2 linked regions of the Rattus norvegicus genome follow. The protein of the gene in region 2 interacts with the protein of the main gene of each other region in a biochemical or structural test. Links are inferred from orthologs where the notes say so. Each region holds a gene or a part of one and is shown on either strand. Other genes may lie near its edges.

Region 1 (10,217 bases), on a different chromosome or scaffold from region 2:
GTCACTGTAAAAACAAAACGCCTAAACTTCCCAGGCTTGGTGTTGACCTGCAGGCACAAACACACATGCCAACTCGATGAGTCAGAGTCCAGTAAGGTCACCGAACAAATGCGCAGTTCGAAGACGACTAGAAGTAACTGGGGGAGAATGGCACAGGGACATAGATGACTAGAAGTAACTGGGGGAGAATGGCACAGGGACACAGACAACTAGAAGTAACTGGGGAGAATGGCACAGCTCACAGATGACTAGAAGTAACTGGGGGAGAATGGCACAGCTCACAGATGACTAGAAGTAACTGGGGGAGAATGGCACAGCTCATAGACGAGATGACTAGAAGTAACTGGGGGAGAATGGCACAGGGACACAAACGCGGGGTGCCACAGAACCTGCAGACCAGCAGACTCAGTTAAAATGCACTGCGTGGAAACAGTGGAGAGATACAGGAAAGCCAAAGAGAGTGCGCACTCTGTGGTTGTTGCCCGGGGACAAGGAGCTTACCCACTGCAGCATGTAGCAGAAGCGGGACAAGTGCGTGTGCGCGTTATAGCCACTTTCACATCCCTCTCCCTCTGACCTACGCTTGTCCAGGGTGGGGGCTCAGTCTTGCCCTTTCCTAACTGCACCAGAAAGCACCCCAGTCCACAAAGTATGCACAGCACAGAGCAGGCTCCACCTGTACCATCCACGGCTTGTTCTGGAGCATAGCTGTGTCCCTTTGGCTCAGCCCCTCAAGGGCCCAGAGAAGGAGCTGTTAGAGGCCCTCCTGGCATTTATGAAAAGATCAGTTAGTCAACAGATGAGCAGAAACCCCTAGCCAGAGCCTATAGGCACCCCAGCTGCACGAGTTTCCTAGTAAAGCAGCAACTCAGACCCAGAAAGCTCCAGGTGCCCATGTGAGGACAGCATGTCTGAGGACAGCACGTTTGAGGACAGCACACGCTACCCTGCAGAGAAGGCTCTCCAGGACAAGTTTCAGCACAATGAGCAGACTTGACAACAGTTAAACTCAAGATGCTTCTAGAGTCAGAGACCTTAGCTCTAGAAGTTAAGTCTGCATTCTCTACCATGCTGGAACTAACGGGATACTCTCCTCGGAGGACACTCTTGCAGCACTAACATCAAAAACTTAACATGCTTTATGGACGATTCAAGGGAAAAGGCAAAACAGGCAATGAGTTATACCTTAATTATCTGTAAAATCACTAGGAGATTTCCTTTAAGTGCCATGAGCTTCTCTGAGGAAAACTACATTATAGCTATAGAATGGTAGTTGCAAGACCCTAGGCAAATCAGTTTGCCCTTTTTTGAGACTCCCTACCTGCGCACACACACACACACACACACACACACACACACACACACACACACGCATGCACGCACGCACGCACGCGTCATCATTTGCAGGGTTGGGTGGATGGATATGTGGGTACATGTGTGGGTACCTGTGTGGGTACATGTGTGGGTACATGTGTGGACAGAAAACAAGAGGAGGCCAATAATACTGGAGCTGGCACTCTACTTCACAATTACATGGATACCGAAGATCGAGCTCAGGTCATTGGTTTGCAAGGCCAGGGGAAGGAACCCTCACTTCAGAGCTGTCAGCCTGACTTTCAGTGTAACAAAGTGTCTCATGTGGATGCCACAATGTCCACCTGAAAGCGGATAGAAGGTGGCTCTGTAAGGTGCTTCTGAAGCAGAAGGGATAGCCTGAACCTTGAAGGGTTACTTACCAGCAGTATCAAGTCCTCTGAACCCTCAAGGAAGAAGAAAACCCTGAGGCACCCACTGCAGATGTGATAACATGGTCACACTTTAGAAGTCTTTCTCCCTGAAGATCAGTAAAACCAAACCTTTCCCTTCCATATGGTGGTAGGAACCACCCCAGGCCTTGTGAGGACAGTTCCTTTTTTTTTTTCCTTTTCTTTTTTTCAGAGCTGGGGACCCAGGGCCTTGTGCTTGCTAGGCAAGCGCTCTACCACTGAGCCAAATCCCCAACCCCGTGAGGACAGTTCCTTACAAAACACATAAGCCACTTTAGAATTACTAGTAAAAACAGTTCCCTTGGCCCACAAAACCCCAACTCACTAAACACACAAACAGCAGACATAGAAACCAGGAGTCCTGCACCCATACCAATCAACAGATTCAAAGGAAAATGTACCACAAACTCATTGCTGTGGTGTATATGTGATACATATGTTTTAACATACATTATGTTGTATAGATTATTTCATACCAATTATCATCTTGTCTTTTGCTGCAAATCAGCGTTTAGCAAACCAGGACCATTTGAAATCTATCACATATGCACTCGTCAGTAAAATCTAAACCAGGCTTCATCTTTATCTATCCAATAGCCAAAAGCTGAACTCAACTTCAAGGCTGGCAGCTCAGTTCTTAAGACGGTGGCAAGAGAACGGAATGAAAACACTGCTGTTTTCTGAAGGAAGGGAGCAGGAGAGTTACGCGTAGGCACACAGCACCGATACCGCCCTCACTCTGATGCTTGCATGTGTTACGACGGTGCTCAGCATCCAGGCTCCATTTTGTCTTGTGACAGACAAGCTTATAAGCAAGGAAGAATGCACTATTATTTCCACAGAGAATGTGTTTTTAAATTCATCCCTTATCAATGCAAAGGCATGCTGAGCATCCTAAACCTTGGCCATGATTAAAGACCACTGAGTTCACTGACTGAGGACATCTGAGAAGACGCCCTTGTGTTGCTTCCACAGATCAATTCTCTAAGAGCTCAGGCACTGACACTGCACCAAATGGTCTCCTGTGCCTTCCTGAACATGAAGATCAAACAGGGTGTGTGTGCCTCACTGGCACATACAAAAACTGGTTGTGGAGCCAAAACGTCTACTTAAAACCCCAAATGCTCAATACTGAATACTGGATAGGCTTACTTCTAAACAGGCTCCCATCTCCACGGATCTAGTCAGACCCCCGCCTCTGATGCACAGTAGGCCTCACCCGCAGCTGCATGGCAGAAGCACCTCAGAAGCCCATGCACCTGAGGCTGAGGCCCGCCCCATGGTTTACACTGGTGTAGCTGGTGTGAGCAGTGCAGTCCACAGCAGGAAAGCGCCAGAGTTCTGAGGTAATCCAACACCAGTCAGTACCAGGACAATCTTGAAATTCTGCATTACATGACCTGAGGTATTCCATTAAAAGGACCTCCAGACCAGACAGAAGAAGTGGAGAAGTCATGACACCAGAAGTCCCCATGTGGCCCCCAAGCTCTCACATCTCTGGTGACAGGCACTGTATGGAACCAGTGAGCAGGTAATAGCGTTCCAACTGGAGTGAGGAGCAGAACCTAAGGAGAACTATGGGGTGGGGCAGGGAGACACTAAACTCATGCACACACAATGCCCGTGCTCAGAGCTGTGATAAAACAGCAACCTCTACACACAGACGTAAGAGCGACCATGCCAGGAAAACAAGAAGAAACTCCCTGGCTTCAGTAAGTCACAGATGGGAGGCAGGCTCTTGGGCCTTACCCATCCATTCCTGCTCATCTACTGTCTTGGGAGAAGGGGAGTCACTGTCCTCAGCTGTGTCCCTGCTGATCCCACCAGGCTCCAATCCACAGCCGCAGACCTATGGCCACCCAGACCGCCCTGACTAAACTTAGTGCATCCCAGAACATATGGCACAAAGGTGAGAGAGTCGCCTGGAGGAATGAAGAAGCAAGGAGAGAAGAGCGGTCAGCATGCACTGTGTGCATATATTACGGTGCTGAAAACTAACTTAGTAATGAAAACAGATTAAGAGACCCAAAGAAAGTCACCAATTCCTCTAAACTGTGAAAGAGAAGTCACAATGAGGGAGGTGAGTTATTAAGCACATAGATCAGTGTCATGAATAGAGTTAGACGGGCAAAAAGAACTGCTATGCTGTGTCAGAGAAGGAAAGAGAAGCTGATTCCAGTTTCTCAGCAAAGACCCTGAGGGGAGATGAGGAGGAAGCACCTGTGTGCTTACAAAGACTAACTTCAAGTTCCAGAATGGGTGTCATGTCTTCAGGCAGGGTTCACTAAGCACCAAGCAGATATGAAGTTTAAACTAAACAAACAACACACACTCTCTCTCACATTCTGTGATGAAAAGCAGAATGCAGGGGTAGAATGAAAAGCAAGAGGCCTCAAATGTAGGGGGAAACCCAGAAATCAGGTAACAAACAAAATTACCCAAACTGGAAGCTGAGGGACAGCTCAGCAGTGACTTCGACCAAATCACTCTTTCAGTGAAGCAAATAACACCATTTGTGAGCTCTACCATTTATAACTACCATTTATAGCTCTCCTCAAAAAAAAAAAAAAAAAAAAGGAACTGAGCTCATACTCTAAAAGATGAGTCCAAGAGAAAGGACACAGAAACAATAAAAAGTAGGAAGAGAAATGCAAGGCTAGGGAGCGCTAACCACTAAGAACACAGCACACAGAGAAACAAGAGGACAGCTGCCCTCTTAACAACTTGAGAGGTGGGCTAAGGAACGGAGACATTCTCTCCTCTTGTGGGATAATGGATACAGACTCTAAGTGTTCACACACAAACGAGTCAAATTGTGTCAGAAAATCAGGTTGGGGACTTCTGAGAGATCTAAAACCTGAAGAAATGGGCCCAGATAAGCATTTAGAAACAGCTGCTGAAGCAGGACCCAGGAAGCACAGAGCCCCACTCAGGAAGGGAGGTGTCCTGTTCCGAGCCTCACTACACTAGGAATACTTCTCTGCAACTCTTCAGCAGTGATCCCCAATCAGAACAAGAGAGCCAGCACATGGTAGTGGTGAGCACCTTTACTCCCAGTCTGGAGGCAGAGGCAGGTGGAGCTCTGAGTGTGAGGCCAGCCTGAGAGAAACCCTGTCCCCACAAAGCAAAAAGGAAAAAAGAAAAAGTACTGGCCAGGTAGTAAGAGTGTGGGTAGAGTGTTGGACTGTACATTTAAAACATCTTTGAAAAGAAGACACCCCCTCTACAGTGGCCCACCTAGGACAATGCCAATGGCAGAAGTGTCATTGCCCTACCGAGACATCTGACCTCAGGTCACAGGTGAGGCCATTTCAGATACTGACTAACCTGCTCCTGCCTCTTTGCCCAGCTAAGGCCTCGCCTACGTGTACTGCCTGTTAGGTGGGGTCAAGGAGACCCAAAGCAGCGTCCTTCCTTCCACACCCAGACCCACCTTTGAAGCTGGTTTTGTGTTCACACTTCCGTTCTCCACAGCACTAAAATCCAGTTTGCCGTCATCCTTACTTCCTATAGCTTTTAGTCCTTGCAGAAGGATGTCACGTAGGTTTTGGTAAAGCGGCTTTTCAGTGTAGTCCAGTAGTTTCACAGTCTCCATGTACTTAGCGATCTCACCTAAAATAACAACATGGTCATTTTACTACATTAGGTCATGAACCCGCTATGCCCGTCTCACTCCTAAGAAGACAGTCACAGCCAACACAGAACTACCAGTGTGTACCATGTTGAAATAGAATCCGGGCTCTCATTCAGAGCTCAATGCAAAGCATGCCCGCAAGTCCGGGACTTTAGGTAAGTAAAGTAAACAACATATTTTGAGTTACAATGTAAAAGACTTTTCTGCAACCCTAAGAGACATAAGAGAACATAAATTAAATTTGGACACACACAAAATGTATATATAAAAGGAATTCAGAATGTAGTACACCTGAGTTGCAATGACACCATAAGTTAGCAGTCTTGAAAGAGAACATGCTATGAAGTGAGAAACAGAACCCGGAGAGCAGACTCAAGAACAGCAAGACAGGTCCACAGAACATGAGAAGAAACTTTACTGACAGGACCGGCCCCACTTACAAGCATCCACCTTGATGGAGCATCCACTGTTCTCCCATCATTAGTTCCCTGACATGCAACCATTGCCTCAGACCCCACCCAACTCCTGTGCTGGGAGTCTCCCTGGTCTGTCACTGAAAATGCTGCCCTCCTCCTCCCAGGCCAGGCCAGCATCTCATCAGTCTTCCTCCCACTCCACATCCAGCGCAGAATGTTCTCTCCCCAGGCAGGACCCATCACAGACACACATGTAAGCACTAGCTTAACTATTTAAGTGCCACAGTGTGCCCAGGCACTATCCTGAACAGTTGGTGGGGAGGTTGGGGGAAGAGGGGTGTTGAATTGCCAAACATCCACTATCTTAACTGGATAAAATGGAATCTAAAATACCCAAGACAATATGATCAAAACATACTGCATAAAGTTATGAAGCATACAAAAATAATAAAATTCTTTTAAAAAATATAAGAATATATAAAAAATATGGAACAAATATCAGTGTGTCTGACAAAAAGAACAAAGTTCCTGCTTTACAGGAGAGAACAGCATCCACCTTTGCCTCCATCTACACAGAACAGAGCAGCCAAGTATGTTTCAGCTGTACAGAAGGCAAGACAGCAAGGCAAGGGCATCAAAGCGCCTTAAGGAGCAAACAGCTCAGCTGCACTTGTCTCACAAAATGGTCTTGGTAACCAGACATATACTCCTAGCTTTTAGGAAGCTCAGGTAGGAAGAGCACAAGTTCAAGGCCAGCTAGGGCTACACGGAAAAATCAAGTACTGGGAGGGAGGGAAGGAGGGAGGGAGGGAGGGAGGGGAAAGGGAGAGGGGGGAGGGGACAGCAGAGCAAATTCCTACGGAGCCTACAAAGCTGCTAAAGCTAGTATATAGCTACGGCACAGCACAGAACACAGGGTAAACAGAACAGAGGGTAAATACATAAAGATCTGCCTTATTTTTAGATTCTGTTAAAAACTAGAAATGAAATGTTCAAACCAGAGCAGTTAACATAAAAAAAGCATCAATTACCCAATGTGACTGTGCAAAATTTCTGCAGAGACCAAAATACAACCAGAATTTAAGGAGGGATTTAATGGAAGAATTGCCACAGTGTGCTGGAGGATTCGGTATTGCAAAGGCAGTGGCTCTCAGAACTCAAACACAAAGCACTCTAAGCTCAGAGCCCAGCACACATGAGAGAGAGTGTGAAGCTGACATAACGGCACTAGAGCTCCAACAGGAACGCAGTGAGGAACCAGGTCAGAGCTGGGGAGAGGCACAGCAGTAGGAGCCCTGGCTACTTCCCCACGGATGTGGGCTCCAACCAACACCCACGAAGTGACTCACAACCATCTGAAACTCCTGTTCCAGGGGACCAAACACCCTCTACTGGCTTCTGTAGGAACTAGGCACACATGTGGGGTATAGACATACATGCAGGAAAAACACCCCACACATAAGTTTTAAAAAATTCTTTAGTTTAAAAAGAAAAAAAAAAAAAAAAGACCAAGTTGGGATTAAAACCAGCAACACTCAAGGACTTGAGGCTCTGGACACTGCTGGTCAAAGTCTTGAGGAGATGATGCCAGGTCAGCTGACTGAGCCCTTCTCACACAGTGCACGTGAGCTCTGGCAGCCTGTGGGAAGCTGGCGCTGTGCGGAGGGCAAGGTCTAGACGAGCAGCAGAGTATGTGAGTAATGGACACTGGAAAGCAGGCGCCACACAGACACACAGCAGGAGTCTGGGGGTCCTGGGGCCAGGATTGGGGCCAGGATGGATGGTGACAGAAGAGCACATTGCCATGTGCTTCCCCACTTCAGCCCTCGGCAGTCTTCCCTCAACCAGGAACCAGACACACTTCATGTCTCTAGAAGGGGAGGCCATTGGCATCCTTCTCCTATTTCAAGCTGTAGACTCTAAAAGTAAAAGCCAATGGCCTCACGATAACCAAAACGAGCTCACCCCAACTCCCTCTGAGATCGTCCTCCCAGTCTCCACACAGCTCGCTTCATTACCGCCTTCCTTCAGCTGCTACAGTAGCCCCTTAGCAAGGCTGTCCTTGGCCTCTCTGATCAACATTTACATTCTCCCCCTGCTCCCTGTGCCTTCTCCACATTCCCAACTCTATTTTCCTATTTTCTTACTCTGCACAGATCTACAGTATAATGTGCTAACAAAAATCCCTGATACACCCTGAGGGAGGGGTCTGGTGCAGCCTGCACAGACAGTACTCCGGCCGGTGCATAATACAACCTCCATAGACACTGCCTAAGTGAAAGCCAAGGGCAACTGCATAAAGCTCTGAGTGCACTGCACCTCCAACAGCAGCAGTCCTGAAACACCCAAACTCACACACAGGCTGAAGGCTTTTTCCTCGCAGAAAACAAAAACCATACAAAGGACTACGGAAGCCTTCCTTACCTGGCTTATTCCTCTCAGGAAAGCATTTCTCCATCAAAGCTGCGACATTGTCTCTGTATCTGCAGAGGAAGGAAGGAGTCCTTAGTTATGTTGTGGTCCCCAAGAGCCTTCAATAATAGGACACATCTCAGGAGGCAGTGCGTCTTAGGGGAACAGCAAAGTTCAAACAGACATGCTATCTAACCTGCACCTTCTAACTTACATCACTTCCAGGTGTGCTAACCCGGGCAGGAGGACTACTCAACAAGGCACTGCCTATGAAATAAAATAAAATAAAACAAAATAAAATAAAACAAAACATAATATAGAGAATAAAACTCTAGAGACACTATCAAGAAATGCTAACAAAACCCTGTCTGTGCCTCTCTCACCACATGGCAGGCAGGAGAGCTGGCCCCGGGATCATGAGAGTGGGAGAACTGGCCCTGTCCCTCACTGGCTGCAACACTCAGTAGAGTGGGCCCCGCATCTCTCCTGGGCAGCAGGGTAGAGGTGGCCCTGGTAGCAGCCCAGATCTAGGGCTTTGAATCAGCACACCCACAGGCGGGCCGGTCCTACAGATTGAAAACTAGATGATCTCCATGACACAAGAAGCAACAGGATACCCCAGAAGAATCCCAGTGAGGGTCCAGAATTGAGAAGTCAGAGGCCTCCCATTTGCAGCAAATGAGTGTAGACAAAGGGGTACAATGTGGCACACATTATGACACACTACAGCTTCCACAAGATTGTTTTCTCTGTTGAGGGGCCATGGGTGGAAGGTGGGTATGAGGGGAAGGAGAGATTAGTAGGATTGGGGTGCATGATTAAAATTCACAAAAAAATGTTTAAAAAAATCTTTTGTCCCATCACCACTCAACCCAAAACAATGTAAGTTGTTCCTTGCCTAATTTTGGACTGTCTGACGTAGTTGGGGTCTTTCAAGTTATCCTCCCAAGGAAGACAGCCGCTGAGCCACTGGATCATGCAGTAACCAAGTATTTCCAAATCACCACGTCGAGATGGGGCTGCAAAGAGAACAGGAGAAAGCACAGTGAAAGAGCTTTCCAGAAAAACATCAAGATAGAGCAGTCCCCTCAGGTCAGAAACGTCCGCCTGCATATAATAAAAGCACTGAACAACGGGCTGAACGAAACGAATCTTTATCTCTAAGTCATAACTCACTTAAAACCCAAACTGCTAACTGAGGGTTTGAAACTGCTCCTACTGGTCTAGGAGGTAAAGTCTGAAGACATCTCACACACACCCAGTTGTCTTGGGGAGACACGAAGACACCGACAGACACTGTCAAAATGTCCTTATAAAAACAAAAGCCACACAGAAACTGGACACTAGAGAACAAAGCAGCACTGAGCTAAGCTGTAAGGCCAGAGGCATTCATTCATTCATTCATCCATCCATTCACAGGGCCCTCAGGTGCAGGAGCTGAACCCCCGCCCTCCTCCTCCACACCACTCTTCCAGTACTCTCTATCAGTCTGTGTGTTTACTTAGCATGGCTCTGCAGAAATTCAGACAGAAACATCAGCACTGTGGAGGCACACAGGCCACTGGACGTACCCACGCCATTGTGAGCATCGATGCTGGTGAACTCCAGTGTGCCGTCGTGGCACCTTTTGGGATCTTCCTTGTACTCTTTATGAACTCCATCTGGGCAGTACCGATAAGCAAGTCCATAGTCAACCAAATACACCTATAAATTTCCAAGCACCGATTAGAGACGAGAATCAATGCACGTGAATTACTAGAAAGTACCGAAATAAAATACACTTGCTTGGACGTAGGTTCACCTACTGGGGTCAACAGCAGCTCTCCAAACTGGCCAGATCTAAGCTGAGCACTGCACAAGTCCTGAGCCTCCCCGCCTGCTCCCGCAGTGCTGGGGACCACACCTAAAGCTTCACCCGAGCCAAGCAAGAGCTCTGTTGCGGCTGAGCCGTATCTCAGCAACTCTTACTTGGGAAAATCTTACTCTGTC
Region 2 (10,828 bases):
CCTTTATGAAATTCACAGGCAAATGGTTGGAACTGGAAAATATCATCCTGAGTGAGGTAACCCAATCACAGAAAAACACACATGGTATGCACTCATTGATAAGTGGCTATTAGCCCAAATGCTTGAATTACCCTAGATGCATAGAACACATGAAACTCAAGACGGGGGGTTGGGGATTTAGCTCAGTGGTAGAGCGTTTGCCTAGGAAGCGCAAGGCCCTGGGTTCGATCCCCAGCTCCGAAAAAAAAAAAGAACCAAAAAAAAAAAAGAAACTCAAGACGGATGATCAAAATGTGAATGCTTCACTCCTTCTTTAAAAGGGGAACAAGAATACCCTTGGCAGGGAATAGAGAGGCAAAGATTAAAACAGAGACAGAAGGAACACCCATTCAGAGCCTGCCCCACATGTGGCCCATACATATACAGCCACCCAATTAGACAAGATGGATGAAGCAAAGAAGTGAAGGCCGACAGGAGCCTGATGTAGATCTCTCCTGAGAGACACAGCCAGAATACAGCAAATACATAGGCGAATGCCATCATTAAATCACTGAACTGAGAACGGGACCCCCGTTGAAGGAATCAGAGAAAGGACTGGAAGAGCTTGAAGGGGCTCGAGACCTCATATGAACAACAATGCCAAGCAACCAGAGCTTCCAGGGACTAAGCCACTACCCAAAGACTATACATGGACTGACCCTGGACTCTGACCTCATAGGTAGCAATGAATAGCCTAGTAAGGGCACCAGTGGAAGGGGAAGCCCTTGGTCCTGCTAAGACTGAGCCCCCAGTGAACGTGATTGTTGTGGGGAGGGCGGCAATGGGGGGAGGATGGGGAGGGGAACACTCATAAAGAAGGGGAGGGGGAGGGGTTAGGGGGATGTTGGCCCGGAAACCGGGAAAGGGAATAACACTCGAAATGTAAATAAGAAATACTCAAGTTAATAAAAAAAAAATTAAAAAAAAAAAAGAATGAGTAAAAGCACACAATGAATCTGAGTATTAGGTAAGGAAAATGTGCTACACGTATACATAATGGAATACTACTTGGCTGTAAAGATGGGACATAATTTCCCTTAGTATGGAGGCAACTGGAGGGCAGCATGCTACAGGGAGACAAATGCCACACATGTTCACTTCCATGAAGACTTAAAAATAAAGGATCACGGGGCTGGAGAAGTGGCTCAGGGGTTAAGAGCACCCGACTAGTCTTCCAGAGGTCCTGAGTTCAATTCCCAGCAACCACATGGTGGCTCACAACCATCTGTAAAGAGATCTGATGCCCTCTTCTGGTGTGTCTGAAGACAGCTACAGTGTACTTATATAGAATAAATGAATAAATCTTTAAAAAAAATAAAGGATCACAAAGAAGTAGGAAGTAGAATAGTAGTTATCAGAAGCTATGGTTGTGGGGGGAAAGACACTCCTGTACACTCTGATAGAAAGACTAGACTCTAATGCTCCAGTGGTGGACAGTATAATTAACTGTCCTCAGAGAGCTTCAAGAGAGGGTTTTCTCTCTCTTTCTTTCTTCCTTCCTTCCTCTTCTCCTTCCTTTCTTTCTCCTTCCTTCTTTGGAAGACACTAGTAGCTTTGGCTGGCTTGACTCACAGATCTACCTGTGTCTGCTACCCAAGTGCTAAGATTAAAGGTGAGTCTGAGACAGGGCTTTCAATGTCCCCAAATAAAAAACCAGTATGAGGAGACAGATATGCCAATCAATTCTGATCTGATACATTCCATCCTGAAATGACAGACTGTACTGACAAATATGTATAACTGTATGCTAATAAAGCACTTAAAATAATAAACTAAAATGCCTTCCTATTCCTGTTCGGGCTCTCAATTGTTGCACCTACCCATAGGGTCCATGACGGTTTGTGATGCTTACATTATGTCAACCTGGCAAGACTATGGGGCCCTGAGTTCAGATGCTGTGCCCCTGGCTTTTCTAAAGTGTTTCCGGGTGAGCTTCCCACTGAGGTCCCGAGACTGAGTGAATTAGGGCAACTTGATTTTGAGAGCCTTCTTCGCCCAGGCTGCTGTGACTCTGCTTCCCATGACTCTGCTTATTTGTATGTTTTTGTGTTTTGTTTTGTTTTGTTTCTAGACAGGGTTTCTCTGTGTAGTCCTGGCTGTCCTGGAACTCACTATGTAGACCAGGTTGGCCTGGAGATCAGAAATTTACTTGCTTCTGCCTCCTGAGTACTGGGATCAAAGGTGTGTGCCACCACTGCCTGATGACTCTACTTCTTTGCCAGCAATGAAGAAGGGTGTGTGTGTGTGTGTGTGTGTGTGTGTGTGTGTGTGAGAGAGAGAGAGAGAGAGAGAGAGACACCTGTGGGAACAGAAGAGACTGTAGGATCCCCTAGAGCTGAACATAAAGGTGGTTGTGAATCACTGTGTGTGGGTGCTAGGATCCAAACTCAAGTCCCCTACAGAACAGGCAGAGCTCTGGACTGCTGAACCTCAGCCTCCTCCTCAATATGTCACTAGCCATGGTCCATGGTCCACCATGCTCACTCCTCCATCCTTGCATGGTGAGAAGGTGAGCTTAGCTCTGACTCAGGAAACTAACATGCTCATCCGGTGAAATGTCTGCTAAAACCACGGTGACACCGAGAAGATTCACGTGGTTCCTGTACAGGGATGACACATAAACGTGACCCATCGCCCACTCCCAGGCTCAGGGAACATCAGAGAGAAGAGGGAAGGGAATAATACAAGAGCTGACACAGCCACTGCACTTATGGACTCGCCTTCGGGAGTGGCTATCTGCAGAGGACCTACATAGGACTAGGCCTCTCAACAGTTCACTGGGATGTGAGAAGGGTCTATGAGCCCCCACCCTTCCCTGACAACTATTAAAAATAAACAGAACTAAGTATTGCTTTTCTCAGTGCCTCCATCAATAGAGTGCTTGCTGGGCAAGCGCGAGAACCTAGCTTTGGAGCCCTAGTGTGCTGATGTGTATCTGTAATCCTAGCACTGGGAAAGTAGAGACAGACAGCAATACAGACCCTTGGAGCTTGCTAGCCAGGCCAGCCTAACCTAGCTCCAGGTTCAGTGAGAGACCCTATCTCAGAAAACTAAGGTGAGTGAGAAAGGCACAAGCCATCAACCTCTGGCCTCCACACATAAATTTACACACAGGCCTGCACACCCGAGGCTATGTGCACACACACATTTAAGTTGTAGACATATATACATACAATGAATCTGTGGGGGTGGGGGGACAAACTATAAGGAGGAAGAAACAAAGGAATCAAAAAAACTTTCACATTTAGTTGCTCGTTTTATTTTCTTAAAATAATTTCTTTTCCTTGGTACAGTTGTTTTGACTGCATGTATGTCTGTGTACAGTACCCATGATGGCCAGAAGAGAGCATCAGATTCCCCCTGGGACTATAGTAAGCTATCAGGAGGGACCTGAACTCTGAACCAGGGTCATCCAAAAGAGCAGTCAGTGTTCTTTTTTTTTTTTCTTTTCTTTTTTTTTTTTTTTCGGAGCTGGGGACCGAACCCAGGGCCTTGTGCTTGCTAGGCAAGTGCTCTACCACTGAGCTAAATCCCCAACCCCGCAGTCAGTGTTCTTAACCACTGAGCAATCTTACCATCCTTCCCATGGAGTCTTTTCCTATGGTCTCCACCATTTACCACCAGGGCTAGATGCAATCCACCTCTTCATCACCCTGGACCGAATCCAGGGCCTTAGGCACCGTAGCTAGGAAAGCACTCATCACTTACTGTGGGCCTTCTCAGGCCCACAGAGGTAACTTCTTTCCAGACAGCTTTCACGTTTTTTTTTTTAAACATCATTAGCAACATTATAAGAATGTAATTCCTGGGTGATGCATTAATTTAAGCATTAACTATAGCCAGCAGCAACTAATTAAGTCATTAGGCAGGGAACTGTTCAGGATGTAAACTTAACAGGTGGTGACACAGCCCTTACTCTTGTTGAAATAGCCATTAAAGTACACTGAGAATGGATTTCTTTCTGTCAGTAGAAAGGGAAATGAGCCTTGGTCTGTCTAGAGATAGAAGCAGGCAGACCTCTATAGCTCAAGGCCAGCCTGGTCTACACTGAGAGAACTTGCCTCAAAAAATGAAAGGGGAGAGAGGAGGGGAAGGGAAGGGAAAGAAGGGGAGGGGAGAAGAGGGGAGGGGAAGAGAGAAGGGGGGAGGAGAGGTTTGAAATTTGTACTATTTCAAGTTGTTACCTGAAGCAGAACGACTAACAAATCATAGTATTCCTGATTTAAGAGATACAAAGATGTGGTCATTGTTTCTATTTATTTCCCTGATGTTCTGAAGGAATCTTGCAAACGTGACACTCTCTACAGAAAGCAACATTAAACAAAGACGAGCAAGAAACAGACTGGTTTATAATTCTGAATCTGATTCACCATAGCTGAAGCTTAAAGTGATTGGGTGGGGTGGAGGGGCCATAGATGAAATCAGCCAAGTATGAATGTCAACTGGGATGACTGATGGCATCATCCCGCCATCTGACATAACTAAGCCACTTGCCAACGAGTCACACTACAGCCACTCCTGGATACTCACTTCAGTGTCAACTTTTAAAATTTCTTGTTGTTTTGAGACAGGGTTTCTCTACCTGGCCCTCACTATGTGTAGACGAGACTGGCTTCAAATTCAGAGATCTGCCTGCCATCTGCCTCCTGAGAGTTAGGATTGAAGGTGTATGCTACCGTGTTGTATATATCCTCACCCTGCCCCCCAATTTGTTTCTCTGTGTAGCCCTGGCTGTTCCGGAACTCACTCTGCAGACCAGACTGGCCTCAAACTCACAGAGATCCTCCTGCCTCTGCCTCCGACTTCTGAGAGTAAAGGTGTGCACCACTACTGCCCCGCTTTTACTTTTGTTCCTTTTTAAACAGGTCTCACATATGCCAGGTTGACCTGTGTAGCCAAGGGTACTTTGAACTTCTGAGCCTGCTGCCTGTCTTCACTTCCTCAGTGCTCGGATTCCTATTTAGACGGCTGGGAATCAAACCTAAGTCTTTGAAATAGGCAAGCAGTCAAGCAACTGAAATACACACTCAGCCTCTGTATCCCTATTCACAACTGAAATGCATTCCAATACCAACTCGAAGGGGCCCAGTGACACCTGAATGAGACACAGAATGACATCCACCAGAAGTGGACACGTTGCCAAGGCGCTAAGGTGGGACATTCCATACATTACTAAGAAAACATTTCTGTCTTCCTGCCTGCTTTGGTTTCCTACCTCTGACACCAAGTGCAGCCCAGAGAAGGTGGGTCTGTGGCACATGCACCATGCACACAGCATGCAGAGCCTGGCTGAGCATCGGAACTGCTCCAAGTCTAGTCCCCCTGTAATGAGAAGCGTCCTGGGGAAGGATGCTCCATCCCTGGCTGGACCACTCAGGCTCTCTCGCACGTGCCCTTCTGCAGCTAGCTCGCCACCCCGGCTCCTTGATCCAAAGGTCCAGCAAGCGCGCCCCCGAGCCGCGCCCCCTCCCGCCCCGCGCGCTCCCGCGCACCTGAGGCAGTCGTTGTCTCTCACCAGGCGCGCGCTCTCGGAAGGGGGCAGAAGCCCCCCTTCCAGATAGAGGCCCAGGAGCGCCCCGGAACTGAAGCCAAAGCGCTGGCGGATGAGACTGATGAGATCTGTGACAACTCGGCATCTGTTCAGGTCAACTAGAAGCCAGAAGACCGTGCAGTGTGGAGTGGCCGGCGGCGGGTAGTCAAATTGAAGTCGTACCCTAACCGTCTCGGAGGCTGCCATCTTGCTCATGCTCAACGGAAGCCGAGAGGTTCCACGGGGCTACGAAGCGGCGTGCTCGGGCAGGCCCGCCCCCGGCAGCAGCTAGCGTGCGCCGCCTAGGGGCGCAAGTAGGTCTGCAGGCTCCCAGTGCGAGCTCCCCAGTCTTTCCCAGAACTGATGATGAGGTCTGAATATATGCAAACGGCTGTTAGGATAGCTTCTGGGACATCGGTTCGTGTAATTAAACAGAAACAAACCAAAAATCTTTAAAATTAGTAAGCAACAAGCCTGACCCCAAACCCTGTAATAGAGGATTTTTATTTTTCTACCAAAAAAGGTCAGGAAAGCACCAAAATTCACATGCGTGTGTCCAGGCAGAAAATGAGAGGCTCGTGCTACAAGACCTTACGTTCTCATAAGACTGTTTAAAACAAACACACACGTCCTTCCTTGGGGCTTCAGGGGGTTCAGTGTGTGCTTTGTCCGTGATCAGATCATGTGTTTTCCTTATCTTGAGGCAGAACAATATCCTGAAAGTGTTGAAGGCACAAGTAGAGAATAAAAAAGCTAAATAAATACGAAGCTTAAAAAAAAAAAGATTAAAAGCGAGGCTTGTTCTTTGAAAGCAATAAAAATCAAGAAGCTTGAGGTGGGAATATAACACAGTTGACAGTGATTTCCTAGCATGCACTTGACCCTGGGCTCCAACCCCACCACAAAGATATAAATTAAGAGGATTTTTTAAAAAATTTAATGTTAGGGGTTGGGGATTTAGCTCAATGGTAGAGTGCTTGCCTAGCAAGCACAAAGTCCTGGGTTCAGAATGCAATACCCCACAGCTACACTCCAGCCCTTTGTTACCGTTACACTTATTAGTGGTGCACAGCTACTCAAAATAACATATAAAATGGCATCCACTAGTGATACGATAATTAAACCTAGAAACGGACACAGATTTATCTATTAAACAAATAGATTTGTTTTTAAAGCATCTTAGTTGGGTACAGAGATGGCTCAGGAGTGAAGGGCAGGGGCTTCGCTTCCAGAAGACGCAGATTCACTTCCCAGCACACACATGGCAGCTCGCAACTGTCTAACTCCAGGTCTAGGGGAATCCAACGGCCTCACACGGATATAATTGCAGGCAAAACATTAATGCACATAGAATAAAACTGAATTTAAGAGACGTGTTTTAGGGGTTGGGGATTTAGCTCAGTGGTAGAGCGCTTACCTAGCAAGGGCAAGGCCCTGGGTTCGGTCCCCAGCTCCGGAAAAAAAAAGAAAAAAAAAAAAAGAGAGAGAGACGTGTTTTTAGCATCCTAGAACCCCAAAGCACAGATTTGTCTTTCCTCCTGTTGAAAACAAGGAGCTTTGGGGCCAGGGAGATGTCTCCCAGATTAATGATGTGAAACTTCTAGATCCTTTGAAAAGTTAGTTATGTCAGATGGTGTTTTTCTGGGGACACCAGAGGCAAGGCTGCGTTAAGTTGAAGCTGCTGCAAGGAACCACATGAACACTTTTTCTTTCTTTCTTTTCTTTTTTTTTTTTTTCTTTTTTCCAGAGTTGAGGACCGAACACCCAGGGCCTTGAGCTTGCTAGGCAAGCACTCTACCACTAAGCTAAATCCCCAAACCCAATGAACACTTTTTCTTTTTCCAGATTTATTTCTTTTTGATAAGTAGCCTGTCCCTGTCCTCAGTCACACCAGAAGAGGGCATCCGATTCCATTAAAGATGTTTGTGAGCCAACATGTCACGGCTGGGAATTGAACTCAGACCTCTGAAAGAGCAGTTAGGACTCACAACCACTGAGCCATCTATCTCTCCAGCCCTCAAAAGCAGTTCTTGGGCCCGTTTCTCTCAATGACTGCGTTACCAGAAGTTGAGCTCAGCAAACTCTATGTAAGACAAACCAATACACGCCTGTCATTAGCAAAGACTACATAGCAAGCCAGACAGATGCTCAGCGCTCATCTCCCACTGTCTGTGGGATCATATTGATGCTCCATCACGGGTCCTTTAAAAGTCAGCTATAGCAAAACATCCTTTCGCCTATGCCTGCTTCAGGAAAACAGTCTTTCACCTGTGTCCCCAGAAAAACACCATCTGACATAACTAACTTTTCAAAGGATCTAGAAGTTTCCACTTCAGTGGTTTGTTTATGGAGATTGGAGGAATGTTCATCTCTTTTCCACTGATGCCACAACAAATCACGTCCCCATAAATTCATGGCTCTATTAGCCACACATGGCTTTAAGTTACCTAGTTCCCCTTCTGGCCCCATACACCTGACCCATTTTGCACTTTATTTTAGCTGAGATCAAGTTTCAGTCCTTAGGAGCTAAATATTATTTCCTGAAGAGGCCAATCTAGATGCCAAGATTTTGGTGAAATTATTGGTTTTTCTTTTTTTTAAGATTTATTTATTATGAGTACACTGTAGCTGTCTTCAGACACACCAGAAGAGGGCATCAGATCTCATTACAGATGGTTGTGAGCCACCTTGTGGTTGCTGGGAATTGAACTCAGGACCTCTGGAAGAGCAGTCGGTGCTCTTAACCACTGAGCCATCTCTCCAGCCTGGGGAAATTATTGTTAATCTGCTCCTGCAACTATTAAACCTTCCATTTCAATTTCATTGATTTGTATTTTCTGCTCAGTCAGGTCTCTGATCCTTTATTTATAGCAGTTTTCCAAAATATTCCTTAGTCTCTCCTGAATTTGGAATTGTCGGTTTATGTACTGAAGCTGCTCTGACCTTGAACACATTGAGCATAGAGAATGTGGGGCTGTGCTACCAGACAGGCATGAGGACTGGTAAGGCTGAGGGAGCTCAGACCCTGGGAATCTGAGATTTGAGAACTGCCAGAGCAGGGCCATTTCCTATTGTCTCTGTCCCTGCTCTGGACCACAAACCAGGACACTCAACCCAGAGGACCCGGAGGGGCACCCATCTGTAGCACAGCATGGGAGTTCTTCTCCATGCTAATAGGGCATCCAGATAGGTTTAACCTGTCAGCCACTGACTTTCCCTTCCTGGGTATTCTCACTCACTCCCTGTTGTTGTGAAAATATACAAAATAAAACGCTGTCTTTTATCCCACTCTAGGTCTGGCACCGCAGTGCCCCAAGTTATCTGCTGGATATCTTCTCAGTCAGCAAAGCCTTCACCTGCTTTGCTCCATCCCATATCACACTGCTGAAGGCCTCTCTCTGAGCCAGCAATCTCTCTACCTATCTAGTTCTTTGGTGGCCCAGACCAGCCACCCCACACTCCATTACACTTAAATCTATGCATGAAAGAACACACAATACAATAACCTTTGACCCAATTGATAAGATATAACTGCCCACCTAAACATACAAAGCCCAGTATCATCCATCCCTTAAGAACATTAATAACAACCTGTAAATACACAGAGAGGAATCTTAACATCACCTTGCATGTTGTCTACCAGCTACTCTCTCTCTCCCATCTCCTCCTCTTCCTTCAAGCTCTTCTCCTGCCCATCCTTCCTTCTCATCCAATGACAGGTCTCCTTTTATCCTGTACCTGCCCTCATCTGTATTTTACAAATTAAATGCGGAGAAGGCTCTGGTGAAGTCATGTGAGTCCTGAGTTAGGTGACTAGGCAGCCATCCTTGAGGCAGCAGAATTAGCATCAAAATAAAGATAACCCTAGGGCAAACCACAACATTTCCCCCTTTTTTGGTCCAGTTAAAAAGGCCTTTTCAGGGCTGGAGAGATGGCTCAGTGGTTAAGAGCACCGACTGCTCTTCCAGAGGTCCTGAGTTCAAATCCCAGCAACCACATGGTGGCTCACAACCATCTGTAATGAGATCTGATGCCCTCTTCTGGTGTGTCTGAAGGCAGCTACAGTGTACTCATACAATAAAAAAAAAAAAAGGCCTTTTCACTTACATATAAATTGAATACAAATATCATTCTACAATTTATAAAACATACCATACACTCAACACCCAGTCCATCAATTTTATCCTAAAGCACCTTGTCATCTATCCTAAAAGACTATAATTTCAAACCTGACTTATATCTTGGTTTGAGATTATATGCTATCTGAAAAACTACCCTTTCAAATTTATTATCTTTTTCAATGCTAAACAGCTTGGGTTGTCTACAAGACAACCTGTGTTCAACCCCATCAGAAATCTTTGAATGCCAAATATCTATACACATAGGAAGTCTAACACGGCTTCCAGAACTGAGAGGTTGTAGCGGCAAATCTCTACTAGCACAGTCCTCTGTTAGCAACATGTGAGTGCAAGTCTTCAGTCTTCTGGCCCAAAATCAACTGACAGACTCTAGAAATGCAGATTTTTGAAGGGCCGATCACCCTGTCTTGGCAGAGCTTATCAGTCAACTATTCTGCATAATTTGTCCTTTTCTGGACAATATTAGTCTGCAGATGAAACAGGCAGCTTTGTGTAGTGGCTGCCTAGCCACAAAGTATTGCCTTACCTGAACAAATTCTTCATTAAATCTGCCAAAGGGGAACTGTTAGGAGCAGCTACGTCTCAACAAAAGATAAATAACTTTAAGTCTCAAATTTTGTGGATTTCTGACGTTTTTGAAGACCATCCATCTATATAAGACAATCTGGACTGTTGTTTTCATATCTTAATATTTTTTTTTTGGTTCTTTTTTTTCGGAGCTGGGGACCGAACCCAGGGCCTTGCGCTTCCTAGGTAAGCGCTCTACCACTGAGCTAAATCCCCAGCCCCTTCATATCTTAATATTATCTTGAAAGTGCTCTCACAAAGTCAGAGCCATGAATGTGCTATTTGGCCCTTAACTCACATATGTAATCAACTCAGAAGTTTGTATTGACATAATTAGAAGGACTGGCTCTAAACCTTGTACTTTTAAACTTTTTTGACAAATAAATTCTATACCAAAACAAAGATATGATTTTAGCTTAGTTACCAAATGAGATAATGACTCTACAACTCAATCTAGCTAATTCCTCCCTGTTAAATTACAACCATTTCTAAGTTCCTCATAAAAACAACTTTAGAATAACTGCTTTCAGCCCCCCAAAAGTCCAGGGAATTG

What was found.
Region 1: of the proteins of Coil (region 2) and Vrk1, one has a biochemical effect on the other in vitro, tested with the Homo sapiens proteins (2 studies listed by BioGRID and IntAct, with this or other methods). The link is inferred for Rattus norvegicus from reciprocal best matches to the Homo sapiens genes COIL and VRK1.

Annotation. Positions count from the first base shown.
Region 1 is NC_086024.1:130,728,389-130,738,605, reverse strand, and holds part of Vrk1 (serine/threonine-protein kinase VRK1), read right to left. Parts: intron 9,933-10,217; coding exon 9,800-9,932; intron 9,248-9,799; coding exon 9,127-9,247; intron 8,300-9,126; coding exon 8,241-8,299; intron 5,379-8,240; coding exon 5,200-5,378; intron 1-5,199. UniProt on the Homo sapiens protein: Serine/threonine kinase involved in the regulation of key cellular processes including the cell cycle, nuclear condensation, transcription regulation, and DNA damage response.
Region 2 is NC_086028.1:74,281,800-74,292,627, reverse strand, and holds the start of Coil (coilin), read right to left. Parts: upstream 5,777-10,828; coding exon 5,532-5,776; intron 1-5,531. UniProt on the Homo sapiens protein: Component of nuclear coiled bodies, also known as Cajal bodies or CBs, which are involved in the modification and assembly of nucleoplasmic snRNPs.